Lonchura striata: one gene and its partners. The protein of the gene in region 1 purifies or fractionates together with the protein of each later gene. This does not show direct contact. Links are inferred from orthologs where the notes say so. Each region holds a gene or a part of one and is shown on either strand. Other genes may lie near its edges.

What was found.
Region 2: the proteins of LYN (region 1) and ANKRD54 purify together in Homo sapiens (affinity purification with mass spectrometry; 3 studies listed by BioGRID and IntAct, with this or other methods). This does not show direct contact. The link is inferred for Lonchura striata from reciprocal best matches to the Homo sapiens genes LYN and ANKRD54.
Region 3: the proteins of LYN (region 1) and PLCG2 purify together in Homo sapiens (affinity purification with western blotting; 3 studies listed by BioGRID, with this or other methods). This does not show direct contact. The link is inferred for Lonchura striata from reciprocal best matches to the Homo sapiens genes LYN and PLCG2.

The regions. Positions count from the first base shown.
Region 1 is NC_134603.1:39,098,188-39,108,117, forward strand, and holds the start of LYN (tyrosine-protein kinase Lyn), read right to left. Parts: upstream 3,731-9,930; 5' UTR 3,633-3,730; intron 3,433-3,632; exon of another isoform or gene 3,343-3,432; intron 3,182-3,342; exon of another isoform or gene 3,056-3,181; intron 1-3,055. UniProt on the Homo sapiens protein: Non-receptor tyrosine-protein kinase that transmits signals from cell surface receptors and plays an important role in the regulation of innate and adaptive immune responses, hematopoiesis, responses to growth factors and cytokines, integrin signaling, but also responses to DNA damage and genotoxic agents.
Region 2 is NC_134607.1:23,541,782-23,551,409, forward strand, and holds the start of ANKRD54 (ankyrin repeat domain-containing protein 54), read right to left. Parts: upstream 3,818-9,628; 5' UTR 3,811-3,817; coding exon 3,570-3,810; intron 3,220-3,569; coding exon 3,172-3,219; intron 1-3,171. Other genes in the region: EIF3L (eukaryotic translation initiation factor 3 subunit L), read left to right, coding at 4,089-4,121, 4,198-4,246, 4,326-4,536, 5,118-5,197, 5,452-5,513, 6,806-6,875, 7,558-7,631, 8,473-8,644 and 1 more. UniProt on the Homo sapiens protein: Plays an important role in regulating intracellular signaling events associated with erythroid terminal differentiation.
Region 3 is NC_134615.1:19,329,990-19,339,936, reverse strand, and holds the start of PLCG2 (1-phosphatidylinositol 4,5-bisphosphate phosphodiesterase gamma-2), read right to left. Parts: upstream 4,455-9,947; 5' UTR 4,386-4,454; intron 869-4,385; 5' UTR 831-868; coding exon 635-830; intron 1-634. UniProt on the Homo sapiens protein: The production of the second messenger molecules diacylglycerol (DAG) and inositol 1,4,5-trisphosphate (IP3) is mediated by activated phosphatidylinositol-specific phospholipase C enzymes. It is a crucial enzyme in transmembrane signaling.

The DNA of each region.
Region 1 (9,930 bases):
TCTTCTGACATTTGCCTGACAAAAGTAACTGATCTATTTACCTCTATGAGTAGTTTTTTAAGGCACAAAGCAAATACAAGTATCCCATAAATATTTGGAGGAAATGCTTCCAGCACATGATGAGTTCTGCGTTCGTGTTTTGTTCCATGAACCCACATTTTTCAGGAAAGATGCTGAACTCAAACGTGAATAATTCAGTCTCGGAAATTACAGCATTTAATGACAATGTCAACAGGAAATGTATCTGAATCAGGCAAAAATAAATATGAAGGCACAGACCTTTCCATCCTTCCCTGAAGGACAATGAAGTTTAAACTAGGAACAGTCACACTGAGGACAGTGACATTGCATTTGTCTTTTATTAGTACAGGCTAATTTATTTGAGAAGGCACCATTATTGCTTACAGGGTGGCAGACTCCTTCACCCTGCATGCGTCATTAAAGACTGTTTTCATACAAATGTAATTTTACATTTTTATCTACAGTTTCCTGTGGCATGGCTTAGCAAGTCTGGAAGCTTTTCTTATTACACCATCTCTAGCATTCCTATACTCTCATTAAAGAAGGGAGAGAAATAAATGGGAGAAATAGGAAGTAGGAATATGAACAACAGGACAAAAATCCTAATTCTCAGCTGGGAAACTGTTTTTTCTATAGAATGAAGCCTTTTTGCTTAGAGACGGAAATCCTACAGAGGCAATATTATAACAAATGCTGCTTAACAGATCACATGGTTTGGTGTAATTACTTACACACTTGGCTCCATAGCTTTGAAAGGAAGTATCGTTCCCTGCATATAAAGCTCACAGAACTCTCAGGATCCCCAGCTGACAGATTCTCCTCCCATCCCTTGCATTAGCACATGATGGCTCATATTCTTCTGAGATCTCTGTGCCATGAGACATCCCCCTCTGTGTACAGCAGATTGCCAGGAATCCTAGGTTATACCTAATGCCCACCCCATTAATTAGTTAGGTAAGTTAGTTAGTTAGTTATTCCCCATGAACTTATCTTCGGGGTTCACTCAGTTTTGAAAAGGGCTCCCTGAACCCCAAGAGTAAAAATGGTTTTACAACTCCTTAGACAGAAGAAAAAACTGTCACTCAGTTACTCAGGATATGCACATATGGAAAGGAGGAAAGATCTCATCCCCTTCCCAGATCACCTAGCCCTTTGAACAAAATAAAATTGCCTTCTGATCAACATGTGTTCATCCCAAAATCTCAAAGATTCCTATTAAGATTCAAAATAACATTCAGAGTAGAGGTAGGCAAACATCTCCTTTTTGTGACAGCAATGGAATCACATCTGAGATTAAATATGGCATCACTTAAACTTTCCCAAATAACTACAGAGAGGCCAATGATGCTCCCTGACGTGCCCCACAAGAAGGGCCAGGTGTAGCATCTCTGATTTGGTGAGACAACTCACTGAAGAACAGAACTAAGCTGAGCCAGGAGACCTTGGACTTGTTTCCATTGCCTGTCACAGGAATTGTTTCCCTCAACACCTGCTGCTCTGTGATGCCATTTAGCTTATAGGAGTCAAAAATGCCATAGGAAGAGAGGTCACTTCAATTACACAGATAAACTGGGCGGGGGGAAAGTACTATGAAATAGTTACTTGTACATTCATAAATACCTGTTCATAATCACCTGCAAGGAATAGTTTCACATTTATGGAAACTCTCTTGAAAAGGGTAACATTAAACCCCATAGTATTGAACAACTTAAAGGCAACAGGGTTTAACTTTGCATTGTAAAGTTTCACAATTGATTGCTTTGTCAGAGTCATTGCACAACTCAAGGGTCAAGGGGCTTAAAAAGGAAGGCCTAAACCTTACCATGTCTTCTGTACATTTCTGTAAGAAAAACCTCTTATTTACTCAAAAATGGAGAAAAGCTGAATAACTTGAAGTGAGCCAGCTACTGTACAAGGATAATCATTCTATGTCATCATGGTTAAAAAAAAAATCTATCAGAACAGCACACAATTAAAACAGATTTTTATGTTATTAAGTAAAGAATTCTTTCCTAACTAGTCTGTATCTCACAAAGTTGAAACAGAGAAAGGAAAAAGCTTTAAATCTCAGAAGAGATCCATAAAACAAGACATCTTTTGATCTCACAGTTCATTAATTTCAACCCTTCTCTAAGGCTTCATAACATCCTTTTAACAGTATCTAACTGATTTCTAGCCTGTTGCTACTTTTTCAGAGAAAACGATTTGATTTTTTTCTCATCCATACTTTCAATGCTGTTGATAGTCTGTATTAAAAAGATAACACCTATTCTGTCCTCAGTGTTGGGTTGGAAACTATCGACACAAACACAATTTGACTCTCCTTTTGGTAAAATTGAGCTATGTTTTCCCAACATAGCTTTGCAATTTCTCAACACGTATCTTCTGCTTTTTGTTTTAACTCTATAGTGATACTGTGTTGAGTGCAGACTTATCCACGTGGCACTTGTACTTCACAGATACTTTCAATTAACATTACTATTCCTAAATTGCAAAAGTCATACAGGTACTTGATGGGATCCAGATTAAAAATTTTAATTTTCAATTTGTACTGTGATGTCCTAAAATACATTAAGATTGTCCAGAGTGTTTCTCTTTCTTCAAAGGTGGGAACGAAAGGCAGAAGATGGGATATTGACTAGAGGTTTCAGATAAAGCTTAGCTTTGTTCTTCCTATGTATATCCGCGGGAATATGACCTGGCTAAATAAGTTTTAAGCGTTAATCCCTTTGGTCTTTATTGCCAACAGAGGGGAGCAAGGCAGCAAGATGAGTTTGTGCCAACTCATTCACTGCAAACACTTGAAAGATGTAATTTAACAGAAACTCTTAACTGCTTTACTGAAGGTACAGCATCACCTCCTAAACTAAAATTGTAAGGAGAAAACACTTCAAGACTGTTCCTTAGGAATACAGTACCTATAATAGCAGTCTGCAAGAAACACTGCACACCAAGCATCACAACACCATTTCCTCATCTTTTAATTCCAAGCACATTTGAATAGACACTTAAGAAGAAGAAGCTTTAACTTGCAGAATGCACGATAAATTATGCTCCTCGAAAAAAAGCAGCGTAAGAAGGGATACCCAGAGATCACATCACCTCACCTCAGTCAAGGCTATCGTTTTGGCTCGAAACGCCGACTGCGGACTTAAACCGGGTAATTTCACACGCTCCCCGGCACGAAACAGCCAGAAGGCACCCGAGCCCTCCGGATCACAGCAGAAGCCAGGCAAAGGAGTATGAGATAAATCATGCTTTTGAGAACGATTATTTTATCCCAAACGCGGTTATTTCCCTTAAGACCCCATCCAGTCCTACCGGGCAGGTCGAGAGGCAGCGGCACCTCCTTGCGGGGGCAGAAGCGAGGGAGAGCCGCCCGGCAAGCGCCTGGTCCCGCCGCTCCGCTCCGCTCCGCGCCGGGGCGGGGCGGGGCGGGGGCGCGGGGCAGCGCGGCCGGGCAGCCCCGCGGGAGAAGCGGGGCGCTGGGCACCGCCGCTCCCGGGGGAAGGCACTCACTGTCCCGGGGGAAGGCACTCACTGTCCCGGGGGAAGGCACTCACTGTCCCGGGGGAAGGCACTTACTTACTTTCCCGGGGGAAGGCACTTACTTTGCCGGGTGCGCAAGCTGCGCGGCAGCGAGCGAAGCGCGGGGCGCGGAGCGGGGCGCGGAGCGGGCTGTCCCGGGCGCCAGCGGCGGGGCCGGAGCGCGGCTGTCGCGGCGCGGGCGGGGCGCGGCCGCGGGAGGCTCGCAGCCCGGGTACTTCCTGCTGCCGGGCAGCGTTTGCATGTGGTGGACAGCGGGCGAGCGGCAGAGCGGGGGCCGGCCCCGGCCCGGCGGCTGCGGCTCCTCCGGCTGGAGGCTGTGCCGGGGACGAGGTGGGGCAGGGGCTGCGGCGGAGTGTCGGGGGTCCGCCCCGCCGAGCTGCCTCAGAGGGGAGCGAGCCATCATGAGCCTCGGAAAGTTACAGCAAAATAAAACTCTGTTAGTCTGATAGGCAAAAAAAAAGCTCTCTTGTTCCACCAACAGCCAAAAAACCATTTGAACTCCACAAATCCACTCTAAGTAGCTTCTAAGGTCAATTGGAGGCTTGGTTGAGAGAAACAAAACAAGTAAGCTTATCTTTCAATGTTTCATTTTATTTCAAGAATGATTTACTAGCCTGGTGAAAAGTGAAATAAAAATCTCACAGGTCAGGAAAACAGGAAATATGAATGCATGGACATAACAGCCAGAGGATGCAGGTGAAAAGCTTTACAATAACTAGAGTCAAGTGTCATGTGTGTACTGCCAAGCCACATGGGCGAGTTCAGGTCATGGAGATTTCCAAGGCAGAATTTCAAATGAAAAGCATTTAAGCTTTCCATATAGAAGTGTTTAGATAATGGATCGAGTTTGAGAAAGAGTCAAAGTGTTACAAGATGCAAGACACTCAAAGGCACCTCTGTACACATTCCCAAAGTCCACCAGCACAGCCTAACTGTGGGTTGGAGTGGACTCAGGAACTGGTGAGGACTTCTAACAGGACACCCAAATAGCTGAAAATAGCTCAGTGCGGGTCACACCCTGTTGGGTTCATGAGGAGAACCCGATTCATGTCAATTAACTTATAGATCTTTGGTGCTGATGTAAAGGCCTGGCACTCCTGGTGATGTGCAGCTGGCACAATCACTGCACACTGGTTGGTGTTTGCTGCAGTCCCGTCTGATACCCTGGCTCCAGCACACAGGTGTCTGCCTTGATCCTCTAGAAGACTCAGTCCATAGAAGCAGTGAGACCATAGTTTGTCACATTTCTTAATCAGTCCCAGATGTCCCTGGGCATCTCTAGAGCTCTGAAAAGTAGTGGGCAATAGTTTCTGGTCTTCTTTGAATTTTATCATCAATGTTTAAAATAATGTGGAAATACTCAGCATTAGACCAACCTCTAAAAGTATTGTAGGGTGAGACAATAAGGAATTCCTCAAGGAGGGGAGAAAACATTTACCAATTTTTAAGTAAAAAATTGGTAAATGTTTTCTCCCCTGCCCCAACTTAGGTAAAGATATTTCATAATAACAATAACAATAAGAAAAAACAACAATAAAATGAACAGACCAGACAACAACCTTTTTCCCAATGAAAACTTTATGTAAAAATGAAAGATCTGACTAAATATACATTGTCTTGGGTTTGGGGATTTCTTTTTGGTAGGAAATTTGGATTCCAAAAGTTTATGTAAAATGAGCTATTTCTGAAGTGCACAGTTAGTGCCTCATGTTTCCATTTTCCTCTATAGGACAAGCATTTTGATCTTGTAACTTTCTTCTTGGAGAAGTAGTGCACAAATCCCACATCTGTCTTGCTCGCCCTCCTTTCCTCTTTATATCTTCATTTCATTATCAAGTATTCTGCTGAGTTTAATATTCCCTTCTCCTAACAAAGCATTGGTGAAAATAAAATTTAGTTTCATAAATGCATAATAGATTCCAGCAGTCAAGTAGAATGCAATCCTATCTATAATGTAAATAATCTGGAAAAATAAAAGACGTGCTGAATTACCTTTAATAGATTGCTGTGCAATAGTAAATTGTGAGACAGAACAAACTCATCAGGTTTGCCCTAAAGGAACTAATATGAAGAAGTGTTAGAGTAGAATAAATACACTGTGCTTTATACTTTTTTTAAAAAGACAGGTTGTTAGTATCCCTTGAAATGTCATGGGTTTATGTATCATTGTTCCCACTGTTACAAATATATACAAAATCTACTTTAGAAAGTGTAAGCAGGAAAGGAAGTCTCTCATTATATATTCATCAAAAGGGAAAAAAAAGCTGATTCCAGCCTCACTACATCTACAGTAGGTCAGCTGTTCATCACATTTTAAATGTACATGTGCATAGATCAAGAGAGTTGGGGGATGGTGTAAAATGGGGCAAGAATGAAACCTCAAGCCTGTCACTGAAGGGGAAGTCCTTGCAGGAAGGACTGTGAGTCACATTAGCCAGCCAGTTCAAGCCCAGCAATTGATTTCCCACTTTGGAAAGATCTGACTCCCAGACAATGTCTCTACTGCTGATTTAAGCATGGCTGCAAGGCTGTGATCCAATATGAAGGCCAGCTGGCAATGTAGGGGTCCACGTCCATGCTGTTGGCATCCAGAACATGGGGACGACCCCAGAATGGCCCATGTGTCCTGGTTTCTGCTGGGATAGAGCTCAGTTTCTTCTTATTAGCTGGTGCAGTGCAGTGTTTTGGATTTAGTATGAGAATAATGTTGGTAACACACTGTAGTTTAGTTGTTTATGCTTTCACTAAGTCAAAGCCTTTTTAGTTTTCCATACTGTGACAGTGAGCAGGTACACCAGAAACCAGGATGGCGCTGACCTGAACTGGCTAAAGGGATGTTCCATACCTGTCATATTCCATATCCTGTCATATTTAAATATATCATATATATTATTATATACTGGGGAAGTTGGCCAGGAGGGAGCTGGTCATATTTTGGGGGTGGGCTGGGCACCGAGTAGTGGGTGGTGAGAAACTCTGTTGGAAAACACTTGGTTTCTCTTGGGTTTTATTCCCCCCCCCCCCTCACTCTCCTTTTCATTACTATTATTATTATTAGTAGTAGTAGTAGTGCTACTTCTACTACTACTACTATTCTTTTTTACTTTGTTTCAATTATTAAACTGTTCTTATCCCAACCCCTGAGTTTTTACCTTTTTCCAGGTCTCCTCCCTACCCCATTGGGAAAGCAGCACTGAGTGAGCAGCTGCCTGGTGCTCAGTTGCCAGCTGAAGCTAAACCACAGCACCACGTTAACTTTCAGATCAGCTCTGGAATATTTTTTGAGAGTGGTAAGTGGTCTGGGCCAGGGAAGAGTCGAGCAATTTGTCAGTAGACTCAGAGGAATGTCCAATGATATTTGGTTGGGCAGTGATTTAATGAGCCTTGTAGGGTTCACACCAATCCCTCTACATACCTGTGCTGATCCCTATTTGGATTGTGTCTGGGGGCATGAAGAGGCACAAGCTGCAGGGAACAGTGACTCTGGGCAGTAAACTAAACTTTGTCATGGACAATGAAAACAGGCAACAAACTTCTCTCTACATTTTATATATTCCTTAATCTCATTGTTGCTGAGTTCTTTCTGCGGTATGCTTGAATACAAAAGCAGAGCATTAATAGAAGACTAAAAAATAGACAGTAAAGCATAAATGGCATAACCAGGGAAATAATTAGTGGGAGATCCCAAGGAATACTTGAGTTCACTCAATTAAAGAAAAAACAGAGGAAATATCACTTTGTTCAAAAATAGATTTGTAAGAATTTAAGTTCTTTATAAAAGAGGAAGGAAAGATAGAGCATGGACACATGTAAAGCTGAAACATTTAGACATCTGGCTGTTTTGTATGAGCCAGAGTTTTGGAGTCACAGCAGACACAGTAAAATGTCTTTTCTTTAGAAATTCCAGCACTTACACAGTCACTACTTGTACTGTTTCTCTCATAATTTTATCTCAAGACATTATCATTAAGTAAATTGCATACTGTCAAAATGCTTTATAATAATGTAGCAAATTTTTAGCAAGTAATAAAGAGTGGATTTAAAAAAAATGAGATACAAGTCATGCAGTCATTCTTCACTCAGAGTTACTGGAGAAAATAAAAGCAGTATATTCTTTAGCATTATTTTTTTTAATAATTTCCTTTCTTATTGTAACCTACTATTTTAAAGAAAGTAATGTTGACCTATAAGTAGAATATGTATAAATTTTATTCTAAATATGCCCTTCATGTCCTAATGATGGGTTGCTTTTGTTTGTTAAAAAAAAAAATAGAAAATAAATTTTATTATCAAGTATGAGATAACAAGTTAATGGACCTTATATGTGGATATTTATCAGTTTCTGCTCTTATTTCCAGTTTGGAGCCTGGGAAAATTAAGTTTTGTGACACTAAAGAGAAATTCAAACAAAAAACCAAAATCTTAGTTTTAAATGTAGTTCCATTATGATTATTTGAAATATATCACACAATAATTTACAATCTTGACTAATTTTGTGATTAAAATTTTAGAAAATATTAAAAACATTTTGGGGAATAATGCACAAATCCTTATAAACTTTGACTCAACATTCATTTGACTTGTTGTTCAGACTAACAATACACATACTAACTAGGCTAAAGCTGGGAAAGCTGGCATCTTTCCTGTAGACAGTGATCTGCCTAAAGCACAGCCACTTGCATTTTATTACACTGATATTTTCTGGCCATAAATCCTGAATTCAGCCTTTTTTATTTCATCTTGTTACTTCCAGTTTCCATGAACAACTCATAATAATACAGCAGATACTTGGCTTGAGATCCTCTTGGCTTGAGATCCTCTAATTCTGAAAGTTAGTAAAAGCTGCTTCTTCTGCATCTTTGCTGATTTAAATATTTTATTCACCTGCCATTATGTGGTTTTATACATAGACATATTTCCCATTTTGTTTCCACTTGTTTAATGGCTGTGAGTGGAAAAATTGCTATTTAGGGAATAAAAGCAGGCCCAACACTGGAAGCCAGTTTGACAACCATCTGCATTGAACTAGGTTGTGTTGGTGGGACAGCATCCTGAGTATTCTGATGGAAGTTGAAACTGGCCTATGTGCACTACAGAATATCCCAATTGCCTTTCTGTAGAAATGACTGCTCAAATAAAAGGTTGTTGTGGTTCTCAAGAATATCATCCTACAGAGGCAAGAAAAGCAGCTGGACTGATGTGTTCTTCACAATTCATTTGGGTAGGCAATGAGAAGGTTGAGCTGACAACTAGTGACTCCAAGAGTCTTCCTCTTTTAAACATTTGTGGCCATTTACAGATATCCTTATTAATCTGAAGAGACTGCCCACACTAATAAAGAATGTGTTTAATTAATGCTTAATTTAGTACACAGTTCTGTGATCACTAATATTGAATTGCCTGAAAGAACAGATTTGAGCTAATCCAGGAACAGGTATGTGTGATCATTTCAAATTAGCAAGATCACACAGTGGGGATATTTTTGTTTGCTTGTTTTGTTTCTGCCTTATATTCAGGGCATTGCACCTCCTATTGCCAGCCTGGACAAGCATTCAGCCTGTGTCTTGCAGGTCCTGCACCACAGAAATTGCCAGTTCAGAAGCAACATATTGTTTCTGGAGGCTTTTTCACAGTGGGCTGTTGTTGAAGAGTAGCTTTCCTTTTCCAGGATCAGCTACTTGCTACAGAAAATTTCCCCGTGGAAAGGCACTGGCCCATTGTTAGCACTGCTGCCGTGCAAGGGCAGCGCAGTGCTCAGGCTGCCCTTGAACAGCTGCAGTAGCAGTGGGCAGGTAATCCCATTGCTGATCACAGCCACACAGCTGTATGAAGCACCCATGGACCACATGCAGCTTTCATTTTCCTTTGGAACAGCACAGAGCATCAGGTAACCTCTGGACATTGAGTTAATGAAGTCACAGCTGGTACCACTGAGTAAAAAATTTATACCAATTGAAGTTATCAAATCCCTCTCCTTTTTTCACAGGGTTTATGAGAAGCAGCTCTTATCTGGGACAGAATGTAATTATCACTGGAACAACTCTCAGCATCAAGAAGAAGGGAGCCTTGTTAATATGAAATCTAGAAACTTTTTTCTGGTGCATTACTCATCAGCTTGGGCTTGGGAAGGTGACAGCTACCTATGTAAGTTAGGAGGAAATCCATAAAGTTCTCAGCCTGCACTCTTTGTGGACATGGAGAATGTGTTGGAAGGCTATGCTACCTGTAAGGCAACCTCGTAGGGGTGATCTCTTTATTCCCTGTCTACTGACCTGGTGAGGAGGCTTCCACCATCAGGATTGTTGAGAGGAGCTAGTGTGGATCATTTCACAGACACTTTACAGCTGTCAGCTGGGGCTG
Region 2 (9,628 bases), on another chromosome or scaffold:
GAAACAGCAAAGATGTTTACTTGTTGCTGAAAAATAAATTAATCATTGCACACTTCCTCAAGCTGCAGAGAAAACAAAACACAAGAGGACTGTAAACATGGGAAACTGTCTATCAAATCTAAGGTGGATTGAAACCAAGACTTACATAAAACTGCATTCTTTCATCTCCCTGTTGGAAATGATATAACTTTTTAATAATTTTAGTTAGTGATTTTAATTAACTTTTAAATTAATAGCTCTAGTAAATCATAATCTATATATACAATTATAAACAGTGTGTGATTCTTAAATTATTCTTAGCCAGTATTTAGCAAAGCTGTCATAATGTACTTTTGTAGGAACATAGCTTGGGGAAACTACTGGAACTTTAACTTTTGATAAACTAACTCTGACATGCTTCAATGAACAAAACCTGAGAAAGATGTATGGTTGAGGTTGGACATCTAGAATGTAGAATTTATGGACCACAAGGACTGTGCAGAAACCAGAAGATAAATAAGGGACTAACAAAGACTTTCCAACTCAGTGTATGTGTTGGAAAGTCCCTACCAGAGGAGAAAGATACTAAAAAGACTAAAAATATAGACCAGCTAGCATGAGAAGCAAGAAATCAATACCCCACAGAGGACACCGTACTAATTAATAGAAGAGAATTATGCAATTTACAACCAATGAACATTCATTTATTTGTTTGCTAAAAAATATAAATAAGTGAAGAAGTTTTATATCTGAGTCTGAGTGGAGGTCAGAATTTTGTGAGCCACAAAAATCCCTCCTGGCCAGCAACAACGTAACATCTTACGCACTAACACTATAAAGAAAATGTTAGAGGGGTTTATTTACCCCAACAATTTAGAAGGATTTAGTAACAATTTACTGGTGACCCAGGTGAGACAACGCATTTGATGTTCCACAGACTTACAGGAACAAGGACTTTGGTGCACACTGAAAGACTTTTTTCAGGGAAAATGTTCAATCCTCTGATCCAGGCAAGTTCAAGGCAAAAAATCCTGGGAGTTTATTAAGACATTACTGAAGGTTTAAAAAGGTATACCTAATCATAAGCTTGCACTCTCTAACATAATAAGAGTTAAGAAAGTTATGATATATAATTGGCTATTTTCTATTAAAGTTAGTGTAAAACTCTGTAAGTGAATATTAATGGAATTGTGTTTGAGTCCCACTGTCTAGTTGGAAAACTCTAATTGTAAAACTATATAAGTGACAGTCAAAAGGTGTTGAGTCTTCACCCTCTGCTTTGCCCATAAATTAGTCAGACAGTGCTGCTTGCATGAAGAGCCACGTTGTGGAAGGGCTTTGCCCAGATATGTCTGCTTATTGAAGCCTATGGTATCTGTTAGTGTTGGAAAATGTGTGTGTTAACGTGTGTCATAAGCATAAATTGAGTCTGTATGAAAACTCATTGGCTGTAAGAGTGTTTAAGCCATTGTATGTTGACTGTGAATTTTAGTGTACTTGGTGTGTACTAAGTGTTTGGTTTTGGGTAATGTAAATTGTTAAAGCGAGGGTCCTTTGCTCAGAGCCCTCTCCTGGCGTTAGAACAGCGGCTGCTCCTCCTAGCTGACTGGGGTTATGTTGGTGTGCACAGAGCGCTCTCTCGTGTCGTGTTTTTGTCATTGCTGGAATTTCTATTTACTGTGGGCTTTCCTTTTTCTTCTCGAGCCCGGGAAGAGGGGTATACGCAAATGTTTGCCTTTAGGTTGCATTTTGCAGCACTGGAAAGAATTTAAAAGCAATTCTTTAACTGGTAATAGCATAATGTATTCTCTGGTGGCTAGAGTATCTATTAGATAATCAAGGAAAATGGTCAGTTCATGGTATTTGACACCAAAATGGTATTTTAGAGTTGATATTATATTGCCAAAAGAAAGAGAAATGGAACAACATAGTACCTCAAGCAGTGATGAGAGAAGCAGGAAAAGATAAACACAGAGAAACACACTGGGGAGCAGAAGCTATGAGAGACAACTTGAAACATCAAGCAATTAGTGTAAAAATACCAGGAATTAAAAGTGTAGTCAGTAAGTGTATATGTTTGCAACACAATCCACAGCCCTACAAAAGACCTCCTTTAGGGATTATAAAAAGAGAAAACTGTCCTGGAGTTTATAGGCAAACAGATTTTTCTGAATTACCTCGACAAGAAGGATATTGATACATATTGGTTTTAGCTGACACATTTTTTGGATAGCTACTTGCACCAACAAAGCAAGAGAAGTTACCAAGATATTGTTAAAAGAGATAATACCCCGATTTAGAATTTCATTCGGAATTAATGATCTATGATATCTTATAACAAAATACAAGCAAATTTTTTGCATCTTGATGTCTTAAGTTTTGCTAGATATTCAACAATTTAAGTGCAAGTAATCATAAAGGAAAATTAAGATCACTTCCAAAGGGGGAAATTTTTGGAAATGTCAGAACTTTTTAGTAATTTTAGCTAATGTTTTTAATTACCTTTTAATTAGATTGTTTAGTCATAATCAATAAATATTAATTCATTATAAATTGTGTGTTATTCTTTTATTACTCTTAGCCAGCATCTAGCAAAGTTGTCATTAAGTTCATTTTGTAGGAGCACAGATTGCAAAATTTACTAAGACTTTAAGTTTTGATAAACTAACTCTGATATGCTTCAATTAACAAAGCCTGAGAGACAAAGATGTAGTGTTGAGGTTGGACATCTGGAAAGCAGAATTTATGGATCACAAGGGAATTTTGCAGAAACTAGGAGAGTCCAGCTCTGGCCCTGGTTCTAATCTACTGGGTCACACTGCCTCATCATACAGTGTATGGCTTAGGTAATCATAACTTTTTCACCTAAATCAAAACATTATTCTCTTGCTGCTAACAACTGGGCAAAAGAACATACCAAAACAGCTGGGACAGTACAGCGTTGATTTAGGCCCAGGCAGATGGAAAACTAACACTATGAACCAGGTGCAATGAAAAAGTGAAAACAATAACCAGCCACACTCTGCTTGGAGAACAAACCTGGATTTTAAAAAAGCCTTTTCTACATCTGAAGCATCTAAAGCACCCTGACCACAAACTATCTGCATCCACTTCCTCCTCTCCTGGAGTAAGAGCCTTTGAGATAATGCCCTTCCAAGAAGAGGTCCCAAGTGGGACTGACAGAAGCCTTACCTGTGTCCAAATCGTTGCTATTGGCAGCTTCACGCAGCCTTTTCAGAGCTATGGAGGAAAGAAAGCAATTACTGGAAAGTACAGAGGGAAAAGGCACGTTTCCCTACAGACACGTTCCACCCCGGTGTTCGAGCACACGCGGGGGGCCAAATCAGGCTGCTACCGGCTCCAGAGAATGGGAAGCAGATCAGGACAGCAGGATATAGAATGGTTCTCCTGTCTCCTGCCGAAGCGGGCTGCGGGCCCGCCCGCTCCCGACGGGCGCCTTCCCCCGGCAGGGACGGGCACGGAACAGAGCCGCCCGCCCTCCCTTCCCTCCCTGCCTGCCGCGGCCCGAGCGGGGCGGGCCGCAGAGCGGCTGTTCGGCCGCGGGACAGCGGCTCCCCGCCGCCGCTCACCGTGCGCCTCCTTGCCCGTCGGGCCCAGCCGCCGGTGGAGGCGGGCGGCCCTGCGCAGGCGGCGGGCCGGGATCTTGCCCGCGGGCTCCTCCCGCTGCCACAGGACGTGCAGGTAACCGAGGGGTGCGTCCGCTCCGAGCGGCGGCAGCGCGATGCGCGGCTGCGGCTGTGCCTCCGAGTCCGGCCCCGGCTCCGAGTCCGGCCCCGCGGCGGGCGCCCCGCCAGCCCCGCCGCCCTCCATCCCGTCACGGCCGGGCCGGCAGGGGCGGGACGCCACCGGCGGCACAGCCCGCGGTGCAGCCAATGGGCAGGGAGCGGGCGGGGAGGCGCGGCGGGCAGGGGCCAGAGAGCCTGACGGGCAGCTGCCTTCCCCAGTCAGACAGAGAGGGGCGGCCGGCCCGCCCGGGTGAAGACAGGCACTTGCTGTGGCCAGTAGAAGGGCTCCGCTCGGCCCTTCGCCCCGCCCCCGCGCCAGGCCCGCGTTTCCGCCCGCAGCGCTGTCCGCGCCGCGCCGCCGCCATGGCCTACCCGGGGGAGGACTACGACACCGAGGTGCGGGCCGCGGGCCTGGGGGGCGCGGGGCTCGGGGCCGGGTTCGCGGGGACTCACTGCCGCCCTCTCCCCACAGGCTGCCTACGACCCCTACGCCTACTCCAACGACTATGACATGCACACGGGTGAGTGTGAGCGCCCCGCGCCTGCCTGCGCCCCGGCCGGGCCGTGCGGCGCTGCCTCACTGCTCCTCCTTCTCCGCAGGAGACCCCAAGCAAGACCTGGCCTACGAGCGCCAGTACGAACAGCAGACCTACCAGGTGATCCCCGAAGTGATCAAAAACTTCATTCAGTATTTTCACAAGACGGTGTCAGATCTCATTGACCAGAAGGTGTATGAGCTCCAGGCCAGCCGCGTTTCCAGTGATGTTATTGACCAGAAGGTGTACGAGATCCAGGACATTTATGAGAACAGGTACTTCCAACAGATGGAAATCACTGTTTTAACTTGTGATGCTGTTAAAAGGGAAGGCTGCTACCTGTGCTGTTCCGAACTTGGGCTTTCTCTGAAACGGGTTTTGTTTGGTAACTGTGAAAAAAAATTCGTTGGTATTACCAGCCCATTAGGCCAATGTGAGTATAGACGAGTTGTGATTTGTCTGAAGGGAAGTGTCAGCCCTGGCCTAACAGGGAGGGAGGCTGCAAAGAGGGCTCTCAGTGGTGTTAGTCTGGCAGTTTGCAAAAACCTGAGGTACAGCTTTTGTGTCTCTTCCAAACGGTTGCTTCCACTCCTGCTTGTAGCTGGGGCAGCTTGACTTAAAGGGAGTGTGGAAGTGACGTACATGTCTGTTTCATGCCTGGGAGATAAATTGCAATCTTACTGCTCAGCTTGTGATTCTCATGGTATGCTTCAACATTGGATTTACTAGCAGGGGTTGGTGGTGCTGCTCAGCTTTCATCAAGTCCAAGGCCTCTCTCTGTTGTCATCTCTGACTCCAGCACTGTCATACTGAGTGAAACGTGGATTTTCATACCTCATGTGTGTCTGTTTTTCAGCTGGACAAAACTGACAGAAAGGTTTTTTAAGAACACTCCATGGCCAGAGGCTGAGGCCATTGCTCCTCAGGTTGGAAATGGTGAGTCTTTCCACTTTCTGTTGGGTTGTCAGAGAGAGAAGGAACTGAATTTCTCCTGACCCTGAGTTATCAGGTGCACAGCGTTGTTGCTGCCTGAGTCGGTCGCCTTTGTTCACTCTGGCAGCTCTTTCAGCAGATGCCTGGCAAGAAGTCAGACTTGAGTGAAGCGTCTTTTTGTGCTTCCTTTCGTTGTTCTGGCAGAAGGCTTCTAGGCCTTGTGGCTTGCTAATGTCCTCTTATGTTGTCTTTTCCAGATGCAGTTTTCCTGATCCTATACAAGGAGCTGTACTACAGGCACATCTACGCCAAAGTCAGCGTGAGTGTTGGCCCTGTGTCTTCTTGTGGGCTGCTTGCTGGCTTCTCTGTGCCAGCAAACTTGACAAGTCTTGCTGCCCTACAGTATCAGTGGTCCCCTAACCTTTGCAAGGCAGGATTGGATGGGTTCATGAGCTGTAAGTCACACTGATTTTAGGGAAGATTAAAATTTTTGCTTTTGGTAGTTTAGTAAGGATTCACTGACTGCTGAAAAGCAAGAAAGACTTGATTGTCTGTTTGAGGCTCATTAGCTGTCTCTTCAGGCTTGGTGGTGATGAGTGTGCTGGTTTCTGTGGTAGCTCAGATGAATCAGGAGACTGGATCTGAGTGTTCAGGAGGCTCTTTGTTTCTAACAGCAAATGTAATGGTTAGTGAGTTAGGGAATAAGGGGGTGTTGGAAGGTAACTGAATTTTCCTTTTTTTTTGCTTATGTGTGTTTCTTTGTTTTTCCTCTTCAAATGAGCAGGCAGTGAGAAGGGGTGTCACAAGAGGAAGGTGCATTATTTGTCATAAAAATCCTCATATGGGATCAGAGTGCCTTATGAAAAGGGAAACATGGATACCATGAAGGATGGAGAAGAAGGAAATGAAAAGAATAGTGCTCTGTGAAACGAAACAAACTTTGTCTTTTTTAAGCCTATTTCTAAGTCTCTTTAATCAATGAGAAAGTCATAGTACTTGGTTCTTAAAGGAAAAAGTCTCAACAGATGCATGACTTTTGGGTAAATAAGTAATAACTGCAGTTTTATTGTAGACCAGAGGGTGGAGAAATGGACACTTTTAAAAGCCTGCTGTGTGCCCAAGCCAAACTTCAGCAGGAGAAACTGGTTTCTCAAGCTGTGCCATTAGTGGTTTTCAGACTCAGTGTCTCCAGCTGAAACAAGAACCAGTAGGTCAAGTGTCTAGGAATTATGTCCAGAAACAGAATTGTTCATCTATTAAGGCTTCTCATGAGCAGAGAAGGAAGGAAAGCTGGTGAAGGAATAGTGAAGTTCTTGAATCTGAACAGCAGAGGGGAGCAGGGAAGGTTAATGCAGAATATTCACAGGATGTTTGACTGCTTGATATCCTGGGAGAATCTGCCTATACAGGAAAAGCCATCCCTATTTTGTGGGACAGCAGTGCTACAATTACAGGTTTTCTGGGCGATGCTGGTGGGTGTCCTGGTTGAATACTGGCTCTAGCACTCCTGAACCAGACCCTCTACTGTTGTGACTGTCCTTATGCTGTTGCCCATGAACTCCCTCCTGCCCTGCTTGATTTGAAGCAGACTCTGCTGACTTCTCTTTGCAGGGGGGGCCCACGCTGGAGCAGAGATTTGAGTCTTATTACAATTACTGCAATCTCTTCAACTACATTCTCAGTGAGTTGCTGCAATTAATTTCTGGTTTGTGAGTTTTGGAGAGAAAGATCAGATGGAGAGGACAGAGCTGGACAAAGGGTCAGAAGAACAGCAACATGTTTCTTTATAAGTAATAGAGGGAAAGATATAAGCTCTTTGCATGTTTGAGTTGAATGAAGAGCAATTTAAATCCATGAATTTAAAACCACAAAAAGCAGAATTAGTTTCCAGTGCTTTCTGAAATACTGTAAAGAATAAAACTTACTTAGCTTTCTTTCTTGCTGAGAACTGCTTCACCTATCTGTATTAAAAAGTAAAATGAAAACTTACAGTAAGGAAAACTTCATAACTGTTTACTGTTGTTGACTCCCCTTGGACCAAATGTTAGTGTTTGTGACTCCCTGCAAAGCCTCATGTGGAGAATGGATCAGTTGGGATAAACCCCTGCAGTCTGTGCAGCTTCTGAGAGCTGATGCTGCTGAGCAGTCACAATCTAGAGATTAACCCTGTGCATGTTCATAGTCTTTGAAAGTGAAGGCAGTCGAGGTAGTCAAAGCTGCATCTCAGCCCTACTGAAAGTTTCGTTCATCTGCTGCCCCACTCCCATTTCAAGGAAATTCTTGTGTTGTTTAATTTGACTATTCCTCCAGTTCTGACAGTGTTCTTGCTGAAGGTGTTAACCCTCTCATCTGTTCTCCTGCAGATGCTGATGGCCCTGCTCCTCTGGAACTGCCCAACCAGTGGCTCTGGGATATCATTGATGAATTCATATACCAGGTATGTGATTATAAAACTGGGCCATTTTGGGGTGTCTTTTCCTTTATTAGTTATATAAATTTTCCATTTCTTCCCATTATTTCCATAGCAAGGGTACCATTGCAAGTTGAAAATCTTTGGTGATCACCGTTACTCTCGTGTTGCCAGGTGGATGAAGAAGTTGTACAGATTTTTAAGTTACAGGGTGCTCTTTGGGGAGTTCTGAGCTTTTGTGCCTATTTGTCTTTCAGAACAAAATTTCTGTCTTTCTTAGTACGGCCCTTATGTGTGCACTGAGAGATTGATGATCTGATTTGAAATAAGCTGTGGTCTGAGGTCTTGACATTAAGAAATGTTTTTCCACTTACTGTTCAGAGTACAACAGTACAGATCTCAAATGCTATTGATTTTTCTCTTCTAAGAATATATTCCCTTTTCTGTAACTTTTTATTATAGATCTGCCTGAAAGTGTTGTCTTGTCAATCTTGAGAACAAAAAGGATGTGTACATATAAGGGAAAAGATGCATGCATGCAAACACATATTGTAATTTGGTCATTCTCTTTTCTATCTGTTGAGACAGCAAATTTGTGTTTAATTGCCTTTCCTAGTTGTTTCAGAGATCCTTTTCTGCTTCAATTGTCTCCTGGCCTTTTCTGTCTATACTGTGTAATTCTTTTAGATGCTTTAAAGGTGGTATAATCTGCCATTTTAATTTCCATGTGATCTCACATGAAACTTCTTTTTCCATGCAACTTGTAGTTTATTGTAATGCATTTGTAGGAGCAAGTTGAAAGCTTAGTCCACTTACCTGAGCATCTCCAGACAAGCTGTCATCACTGAATCTCTGCTTTTCCCTGTAGTTCCAGTCTTTCAGCCAGTACCGCTGTAAAACAGCCAAAAAGTCTGAAGAGGAAATTGATTTCCTTCGTTCCAACCCCAAGATCTGGAATGTCCACAGTGTCCTTAATGTGCTGCACTCTCTAGTTGACAAATCCAACATCAACCGACAGCTGGAGGTCTATACAAGTGGAGGTGAGCTTTGGGAGGTGCCAAACAGCATTGGTGTCTGTGCTGCCTTGCTTTGATTTGACCCAAGTTGCTTAACTTTGTTTGGGAGCTGGATCAAACCCATAATCAGTGGATGGGTTGGCTGGGAACTGGTTCTGTTGGCCTTAAGTGAGAAGTAGCAGTGATTACATTTCTGGCCTTGCTCCCTTTGTTTTAAACAGAAAAGTATTGTGAGGGTAGCTTGCTTCCTTGGAGGATGACATTGTGGTTCCTTTTTTTCCCCTAGGTGACCCTGAAAGTGTGGCTGGTGAATATGGGCGCCACTCCCTGTACAAGATGCTGGGCTATTTCAGCTTGGTTGGGCTGCTGCGTCTGCACTCTCTGCTGGGAGATTACTACCAAGCCATCAAGGTGCTGGAGAACATCGAGCTCAACAAGAAGGTAATGCAACATGTTTTAACCCTTCTTTTGCAGTCTTCCAAATGCCTCTGTTGAAGCGTGCTGGTGAAAAATTGCTGTGCTGAATCTTCCAGCTGAGGAACTGTTTGTGTCTGCTGTAGTTGTCAGGAGTTTGTGGCTGAGCACAGCTGGAGCTTTGGCATTAAATCAAGCCATATGATAATGCCTGATGCTGTTGCAGCACAATTGCCCAGTTTTTTAGCAGGTTTGTTGAGTTGTGCAACACAGTGTTACAGAGAATACTGGAACTACAAGTGGTAGTGCAGTAGCAACTACCTGAACACACCATTCTTAATTTTGCCAGTGTCTCTTTCTTGTATTTTTGACTTCTGTTCTCACTATGCCCGCTCCCACCTAGGCTGTATTTGCCTTAGAATTGAGTGCTGCTTGTGGCTAATAAAAGTTCAGTTGCAATGGGTTTGAGCCCGGGCTTGGCACAGATCTGCTTATGTGCTGTCTGGCACAGGATGTGGAGTGAAACAGGGGGAAAGGGAACTGAGCAGAGCAATGTTAGGCACAGAGCAAGAGTCCTCTCCTCGCAGGAAGCTG
Region 3 (9,947 bases), on another chromosome or scaffold:
TTCTTCTATTCTAGTTTTTGCAGCCCTATCTAGCTTTATACACCCCTTCTCTTTCCTGACCTTGTTAGAAATAATGGGTTTAGTCAATTCCAATATCAACTAAAGAGACAATACCAACTCAGGGCATTGAAACCACCTCATATCTCACAGCTTCATCCTCCTAAGCCATTGGTACTTTCCAATAATGGTTCTAAATAATGACTTCCATCTTGAGACAGCAAATTGCCCAAGAATACCAAAATGTGAATTCAGTTTCCTTGTATTTGAAGGTGTTTGGTTGGTTTGTTCTTTTTTTTTTTTTTTAATTACTCACTTGAATTTATATGACACAATGATGGAAAACAATCTGTCAATTCAGAGAACACAAACACCATCATATTCAAAGATGAAAGCTTCAAGAACAAAGCTAAGGATAAAAGCATATTAATCATATTTAAGTAGTGTTAAATACCTAAATAATGAGCTGCAGGAGATTCTTTGTCTACATTACAACAATTCAAAATATTCTCAGCATAAATAAACTCTGTCAGCCAAAATCTTCATAATATTAACAAAAGATGTGTTAAATTAATATTTGACAAGTACATCAATTTATTAGTAACTCCAAGTTCAGGTGCACATTGCAAATACTCACAGAAACCTTCAATCTTGTCAGCTGTCTTGCTCCATGCTACCTGTCTGGTTTCCATTATGACTTGAATAGTCCTCCTTTCTGGGCTGCTCTTCTTAAGACTGAATATTGTCATAACAGTTCCCAATTCCAAGGTCCTTTTGATCTGGCTTTTCTCATACTCAGGCAGCACTCCATAGTCTATAGTCTTTCTGGGCATCTTTTCTTTATAATCAAACTTTTATGGTCTTCAGTGTCCTGATGAGAAAAAAATATAAGGAAGAAAAGGGAGAAAATTCAATATTTAAAACAGCATTTTGATTTCTTTAAAGATCACATTTAATGTAGTTAGATACCTAACACAGACTCCTGCCCATGCAAATGCAAGGCAGGTACCTGGCCAACATTAACTCTTGCTGGTTTATCCTGAAAGGAGATACAAACAGTCTTCACAGAGGGCAGTTCCAGCAACATCAGCGTGTGTAAACTCTTGCACTGTATTAGAATTAGATGAGATCTACATAAGAATGTAAAGCAGGTAACTGTCCTTTTGAGAACTGTAATGAAGGGAAAACATGAGTAATACAAACATTGAAGTGCTGGCAACATCTAAACATCAGTTTTTGCACTTTTAAAACTTCATGGCTCGGTTTCTCCTACACAGTCTGCCTTTTCTCACCCACATGTTGGGTGGCAGATATTTGTGTGCATACACTTGGGACACATCTTGGAACAAACCAGCCAAAAGAAAGATGTGTTCAGAGCAAATCTCACAAATATTAGCAAGTTTCTGTGCTCTCTGGTCTCCCAGATTACTGCATCAAACAGCTAATTACAAGCCTGATTACTCCTCAGTGAGATTACTTACAAACAGGATGGTCTGCAACCTGCTCTGTCACCCATAGTATCACTGTCACACAAGTCGCAGGGATTGCTGCCACACAGCTCCCAGCCATCCCCCTTACCCGGTCCCTGAGCAGGACACGTTTAAAGCAGCTCTGTGCATGCTGCCCCCAGCCACGGCGTCTCCTCTGCTTCTCTTCCTCTCTCCTCAGGTCACTGCTCTCCATCACAAGCAGTTTCAGTTTCCGTGTTCATGGCTAATTCGACCGTGGCACTTCTCGCTTCCCCTTCGTGACTTCTGCCAGCCCTGGCCCCCTCACCCCGTGTCGCTGTCTCCTGACTCCTCTTTGCTGCTCCCTCTCACTAGCAGCGCTCAATTGCCTTTTACCATCGTGTCACAGCTGCTTTAGGAGCAATCGTCCTGACTTTGAAGCTGTCCGGTGCAATCTTTCCAATCCCTTCTTGAATTCTACCACTTCAAATAAACACTTTTTTTTTTTTTTTGCAAGTTAACAGAGAAGCCACGGAAGTCCTTTCTTACCTCTACACTGCCAACCGTGAGCTTGAAGTGCTCTACAGCAGGAACCACTCCATAGTTTACAAAACATACACATAATCTGGTGTTTTATATTGTCTTATTACAGTAAAGAAAAAAATGGAGTATTCTTCCCTTATACTATTTAAAAAATTTATGTACCCCAATCCTATAGCTGGGAGGGAGTGAACAACTTGGAAATACTCTAACAGCAGATTTATTGTTTACTTTTAGCCATAATGTAACTGATCCTTTTAGACTACCTGAAGATAATCAAGTAATCATTTAAATTATGCCAGGCCTACACCTAAAAAAACATCCACGGTCATCTTGCTACAATGACTTGTTAAGATAAGAAATGAAAGGAGAGAAAAATAAAAAATGAAATTAAAATCTTTGAACAGTGTCTGTTTTCTAACAAAAAAATAATAGAAACCCTGTCTTCTCACTTTGCTCTTTTCATTAAGAATCATAATAAAACAAATATGCTGTGATCTGTGACAAGGATTAAGCATTTGTGCAGTGCTACACTGAATAACAGAAAACTGAACTTTTAAATTAGTATAGTTTTTCAAGAGATGATAAAAAAACATGTGGAGTTGCGCGGCAAAAACATACATCAGCTCTGCCTTTTACAGTACAAAGTACAGCTGTTAAATGAAATATGATTCAGAAAAACACGAAAAGAAGTTTCTAAATACAGCTGTTTAATAAAGGGCAACACAGTAGGTTTTCTGAGAGATAACTCCCTTAGTAACTCCCTTAGTACAAAGGAACTGCCTCTCAGAGGTGGCTTCTTAAACCGTTTCTACTGAATATAATAGACTGGACTTCCCCTTTTAAAGGAGTTCTTTCTCCCCAAACCAGAGACAACAGTGGATTTAATCTAACTTCTAAATCACAAGCCAACTTTTTGACTTAAGGTGGAAAGAATATTGCAATATATGATCAATCTAACTGGCCACTCCTAGAGACTGTTTTGGCTACCTGCTCCACTTTAAGAGTAACATCACATGAAGCTGCCTAATAGTAAAAGAACTAACAGAAGTCCTTGGCTTTAGACCTTCACACACCAGGAGCTGTCTTACACTCACCCACAGGTGCCCCTCAGCCTTCCTGACACCCATCACTGCACAGCTATTTGAATTAACAGCCTTTCTACCCATTCATGCAGCAGAATTCTGTGATGACCTTCATCAGCTGCTACCTGGATGCCTCTAACCCAGCAGAGTGTGAACTACGAGATGCTGTGTGGAACAGAAGCATCACTGATCTTCTGCTGAAAAGTTACTGAAGCCTTACTTGGAAAGATCCAGCATCACTTACAGGACTCAGCAAGCGAGTTAATAATCATCAAAATATGCCACAAGCTTCAGCTTAGACAAAGCCATGACACTTTCCCTTTGACTGTAGGAACTACAGGAGGTAAATTTTGAAGGTGTCCTGTACCATATGCAAAACTTGGATGATTTGTTACTGTTTAATACCTGTTCTGATAGGTTTTAATTGAAAAGCCTGACTAATTCAAACTAAAAAGTCTAAAAGACACAAAGCAAGTAACCAAGTGAACACAGACATTAAAAAAAAAACCCACCAAAAAATCCAAATTTATTTAATCTACCCTGTCTACTTAGTTTTACTTCATTTACTTCAGACTTTAACAAGCAAACCCTTCTTGGCAAAAGATCAGTGTACAGTTCATAACTCTCTTCATGATAACACAGAGAGGAAAATCTAGAAAAGGAAAGCTATAAACACAGCAGCTAGCAAAGAATAGCTCAGATAACCACTGATGGGTCTGTTATAATTTTACCAACATGACACAGCAGGTGCTTTCCAGACACAGAAAGTTAACCAAGAAGTGCAGTCCAAAGTTTGTCTCCAGTCAATTTCTAAATTTTCCCATGTGCTCTGGCCATTGCAAAAGTTTTGTTGCATCCTCTGCCAGGAGCTCTTCCTTTGGGTTTAGGACATCACCTCGCCAGCCGGACGGGCACCAGTGACAGCAGCGCAGTACCACAGCAGTGATAATTATTAACAATGGATGCACAGCCCTTGTGCTGCAGCTGCGGCCCGGCGGGGCGAGCAGGGGAGCGGTCAGACGGTGCCACCTGCCCGGGCAGGCCGGGCCCTCACCGGGCAGAGCCGCGCTGCCCTCGGGCACCGCCGAGGCTTCCTTCCTTCCTCTCCCTCACCCCGGGCTGCGGCGGGGCCGCCTCAGGGAGCCCCTCGTCCCCTCCTCCAGCCCAAGCGCGACTGGCACGACTGTCCCTCACCCTCCGCCGCAGCCCGACCCGCGCATCCCCCGCCTGCCCTCCCCGAGCCTCCCTCACCCGGACTCGCCGCTCCGCCCCAGCCCCGCGGCACCTGCTGCTGCTGCCGCGGGGCCGCCCTCACCTGCGCGGCCGCGGGGCTCCGTGCGGCGGCAGGGCGCTGCCGTCCCTGCCCTGCCGTCCCTGCCGTCCCGCTGCTCCCGCGGCGCCTCTCGGCTCCGCTTCTGCCGTCACCGGGAAGGGGCGGCGCCACCTGGCCCCGCGGCCGCCCGCGCGCCCGTGGCTGCCCCGGGGGCTGCCCTCAGCCCTCGGGCACCGGCCCTGCCCTCCCGCGCCCTCCGCAGCGCCGAAGCGGGGCCGGGACTGCTGGGACTCCTCGCCCCGTCCCTCTGCCCGTCCCGGGGCTGCTGTCCGGGCCCCCGGCTGCCGCTGTCCCGCAGGGCCCCCTGAGGCGCGGTCCCCTCCGCCAGGGCGGCTGTCCCGCCGCTCGGAGCTGGGGTTCTGCTCGTCTGAGGAGGGTGGTTGAGCCGTAGGAAAAGGCTGGGCGGATTCACTGTCGCTGAAATGATCTCAAAGTCAAGTTAAAACTGACTCCCAGTGATCCGCTACGATTGTATCGCACGTCAGTTTAGGAGTGGCAGTGCTAAAAGTGTTTCCCAGACTGGGACTCAGAAGAATAGTGGTAGGAGGACACCCTGCTTGCAGGTCAAGCCCTGGTACAACCATTCCTTGATGTATCGGTCTTGCCCCAGACCAATTTGATAAATCTGGGGGAAATTCCTACACCCACAGGCATGAAGACAAGGTCATCAAAGGGAGCAAGTCATGCCAGTTCAGCAGACACCAAAACAAATGCCCAGAGACCAAAGCTAGGGATGCCACAGCATTTTGAGGGAAGATCTTGGTCATTTCTGAAAGGGCTGTGCCATGTTACAATGGCAGGTCCTGTATTCCAAATGCTGATTCCCAAACACTGATGTTAAGTTTCATGGAGATAATTCTTCATCTCCTCTCCCTCCAATACTGGTGACTGGCACAAGGGAGTGAAAAGCATAGGTCTTTTAACAGATTAATTTACTCTGTTGAGAGGGAAAAAAGTTTTCCATAATTTTAGTCAGCATTATAAATAGTTGAATAGTAATCAAACATTGATATTTTCACCCTATACTTGCAGAAACTACTGAAACAAAATGATATTGGCAATGATGTTCTGCACCAAATGCCACCAAAAATATTCCCTAGCTTCTTCTCCCTACACAGAAGGAGAAGAAAATGTCAAGTGTGTCCAGCTCTTGTGTAGGAGCAATTTGGGAAGCTCTTCCCAAATCAAACTAACAAGCTTTTATCATGCTCAAAAGTACCAAAGGGTTTCAAATAAGTATGACCTATCAAAAAAGAACTAAAGAACACACTCAAAATATATCACCACAAAAGGAAGAAACCCAATACCTGGGAAAGGTGTGGTTCATTTCAAATGCAAAACAAAAAGATGATCATTGCAATCTTATCACTGTTTGCTATTCTGTGAATATTTTTCACATCTTTCCAGAAGTCTAACCTGGGAAAAGTTTCTCTATTTATAACGTGCAACTCCATTACAAATCACAGAACAGCATCTAACAGGAACCATGGCAGTAAATTAGTGAGAATAGAAGAATATGTATTAATCACACCATGGTGTCTCTGCCATACATTATTTTTAGCTCTTCATTTTTAAAGTCTTCAATGTTTCATGTTGAAGCTGCCTTTGAAATTATGTGAGCAGTGGCAAAAAGCAAGAACCAAGCAGCCAATTTCCCCAGCTGCAGAAGTTAATAGCCAAACATTCATCCACACCAGAGAGCTGAAGGGTGCAGGTGATCCTGGGCATTTAGCAAGCAGGAGATGGCAGTATTCACTTCATGTCAGCTGTCAGATCCAGGAGTCATCTGGGTCCATTGAGAGTGAATCCAAGTTCCAGCAAATACCAGCCCCAGCAGCCCCTCCTGGTTCTGCTTCGCTTGGACAGGTACCAACAGCCTCCTCACCAGTCATATGGCACAGCTTCAGCACAGGAACCACCCTTGAACAACCCAGAAGCCACACAGGCACAGAGCTGCTCATCTTTATGGTATTTAAAGCTGTGCTGCAGAAGTTAAAACACTGCTGCAAAGATAAACTTAGGTCTGAACATACTTGTGGTTGTGCCTCATTGGTGTTTTGGAAGGACAAAAAAACCTGCCCATTCCCAGCATTTCTTGTATGACCTTAATCTTACCTGATAAAATGCTCTTAAAGCTGAAGATTCATTATATAGCCAGAGAAAATATGTATGTTGAAGAGAGTCATAACACTGAATCCTGTAAATTGTTGGATGTAACAAAATCTCAGATGGAGCAAGGAATCCTTAAACCCAAAACAATAAAAGAGTAACTCTTACAAACACCAGCTGTTACTCAGCACATTCACTACACCCAAAATAAGAATATTCAGACTTCCACACAATCCCAACAGATTTGAGTTATTATCAGAATCAGCAGCTCTGCTGTCCAACTACCAAACCTCAAAAGTGAGAACTTCCAGGCAGACAACATAATTACCTGTAAGGATTATGGATCTCATAGTCACAGATAATTATCAGGTGACATCTCCAGTCCCTTTTTGTAGGAAAAAAAAAAAGCCTGTAGAGCTTTTTTTCTCTGAGGAAATATATGCTGACAACAGGTGTGGGAAAATTAGGTCTCTGAGTTGTAGAATCTGCCCCAGCAAAGCCTGTGTGTTTAAAAAGAAGAAGGTTAACCACTAGAATAAAATCTTCCTTCCTTCCTTTATTCTTTTTTCTTTTCAGTTTAACTTCCTTCCTAAAATTTTTAAAGACCCCTTAAATTGTTAAAATATCACTATTTATACTGAAAAGCGAGTTTTTCAACTAGGAGTATAGTTTTATATTTTGGTCATAAATCCCTCAGAAAGGGAATTTATAGTGTTCATGCTAACACTCTCTTAATTACAGCATTGAAAAGTTCAACCCTGTCTTATATTTGGGAATGAAGTGTTGATTGCTTCCCCTGAAGAATAAAGCAAGGCATGAAAGAGAAGCACAGGACTGGCTAGGCAGTCTCGTGGATATAATAAATAATGGTCACAAAACTGGTGCCACTTCCTCACAGGAGATACAAAGAAAAAACAGCTTTTGTGCAGAAGACAGATGTTGAAAATCTTTACCCCATCAATTGTAAAAAATGTTAAAGAGTGATTAGGCAGGAGGAACAAATAGTTTAGAGACTGCCACAGACATTTTGTAGCCAAAGGATTTACTAACCACCAGAGTCTCTGCACTCCTTAGCAGGATGTATGTTAGCTCAGCTAGATTTTCTGGTTAGAGCTGCAAAACTATAACCACATGTTTCATAAAGAAAACTTAATTTTTAAGGTTTGCCTTTATGAACTTTTCATCTGCAGGACTCAAGCTGATTTTAAACCTGTCAAGAGAACTCTCATACTTAAGGCTGAGTAGCAACAACTGCTGTAGTATGGAGGGAGGAGGGGAAGGATGTCCCCAAAGCAGTCCTCTGCCACCTGAGTTCCTCATGGCAATAGCTTCAGCTACTCTGGGAAGCCTTGATCATCTTTACTGGCTCAAAGGACCTTTGCAGCATGAAGCTGACCTTTGAGAGCAATGTCCAGCTGTAGTAGCACAATTAAAATAGTGAGTTTTACAGATCCACCTTCAACACCATCACAGAGTGTGACAGAGAGGTCCAACACCCCCAGCACATCTTCTCAGCATAACAGAACTCAGGCTCCTTGAAGACAATCTCTTGTAGAAAGTGTTTTAGTGTATACTTGGCTCCATTCTTATCAGAGTTGCATTTTAATCTTGGTAAATTATTGTCACTTAATCATAATATTTAAAGTAAATATTGACTTAAACTACTAAGGTCACTAGCAAAAAAGCTGACATGAAGGAAGGGAGGTTGTACTTATAAGTGGCTGGCCTGTTGCCTGCTGAAATGTTTATCTGAGTCCTCAAAAGCTGAGCTACTCCTCAGTTCAGTTACCCTGTCTCTTATTTGCAAGATCTGCATTTAAAAAATCTTCTGAGGAGTTTCTGCCCACTGGCCTCATACACAAAATACAGTGCTGTCCCTTACAATTTCTGTAACAATTTGCATTTGTAGATGTCAAAACAATTTTAAAAAATAATGGAAATCATTATATCACATTTTCAAAGGCACCAGGCCCAGAGGGTGAGGAGGTTTGCCAAAGATCTCACAGCAGTTACATGCCTTGGGCAGAACATTGCTTCCAGGTTTTATCCTAATGTCCTGACTTTGGAATGGCATTTCCTCATAGCAAAGCTCGTTGTGCCAGAAGAAACCTTTTCATTTGTCAGAGTTATACTTTCAAAAGTCTCAGTCAAGTGAAAACTCTGCTGTGTGGTTTGGGATGCTCAATAAAAACCTTTTAAAAAACACATGTGAAAATATTTGAAATAAGTGTCAAAGAGCATTTTTTTAGACACACACTAACGAGTTATTTACTCAGCACCTTGAGACAGCTTTGACCACAGAAAACACCAGTACGTTTAAAAAGGGCCTGCAATCCCACCTTCAGATGAATATATTGCAGTCACTACATCCACAGTGATAAAATGCCAGCAGCTCATTACCAGTACTATCAACGAGTTGATACCATTGTTACAAGGCCTCAGCAGAAAAGGAAAACTGCACAAGACTCTGCAGGGAACCAGAGACATTTTTCTCCTGTGCTTTTTAAGCCAATTACATTAAAATCTTTCATAAAAATAATATGCTTTTGAGTGGGAAGGACTGAAAAAAAACACAATTTGACAATAGTTTCAAATTAAGTGAGTTGTAACTCAGCAAGAAACAGTCCAGTTCTCCCCCCAGGTAACTTTCAGCCTTTCATTTTTTTCCCACTACAGAGTAGCACCACGGGTGAGTTGAGGAGAGAAAAGGCTCTGTTACCATCTGTTCAGCCTCCTGCCCTCACTCATTATCCCTGTAAGCCTGGAGAGGTTTAGGAAAGGGATCTTCAGGCAGGCTGGGCACAAGGAGCAGGGCTGACCTCAGCCTTCAGCTCTGAGCCTGTCCCAGGGGGACTCAGTGTGAGCAGAACACCACCGAGGCTTCTTTCTCTCCATGGTCATTTTCCTTTTTCCGACCATTCTGCTGAATCCTTCTTAACATTGCTCTCGCTACTGCCGGTGGAAGCTTTTCTGGGATCATAAAATAGAGATAGGCCAGGTCTTTCTCTACTTTCTACATGGCTGATTGCAGGGATTTATTATTGTGCAAGGCCTTCCCTCAGGGCACACAGGAAGGGAGGAGAAGTTCCTTGCATCTGTGCTCACTCATGCATAGATCAGCTTTAATCTGACACATGCTACATCAGAAAAGTTTAGAAAAGCCCTCTAGTTAATCAAAGCACAAGAATTCTCTGGGGATGGCAAGAGCACACTGGTCCTAATGCAGATAAGCATGTTGTCATGTAAAAACACGTGTCAAAATGCCACTAAAATCAAAATATGATTGAACAATTAATGATATCCTTGAGTGATGTTTTCTGAATAGGGATAGAATGAGAGATACTCTACAGGGATACACCTCCCAGATGCCTGTGCCTTGGAAAAGCATCCATCTGGTTATATCTCCAGGATCAGCATATTTGTATAGAATGCAAA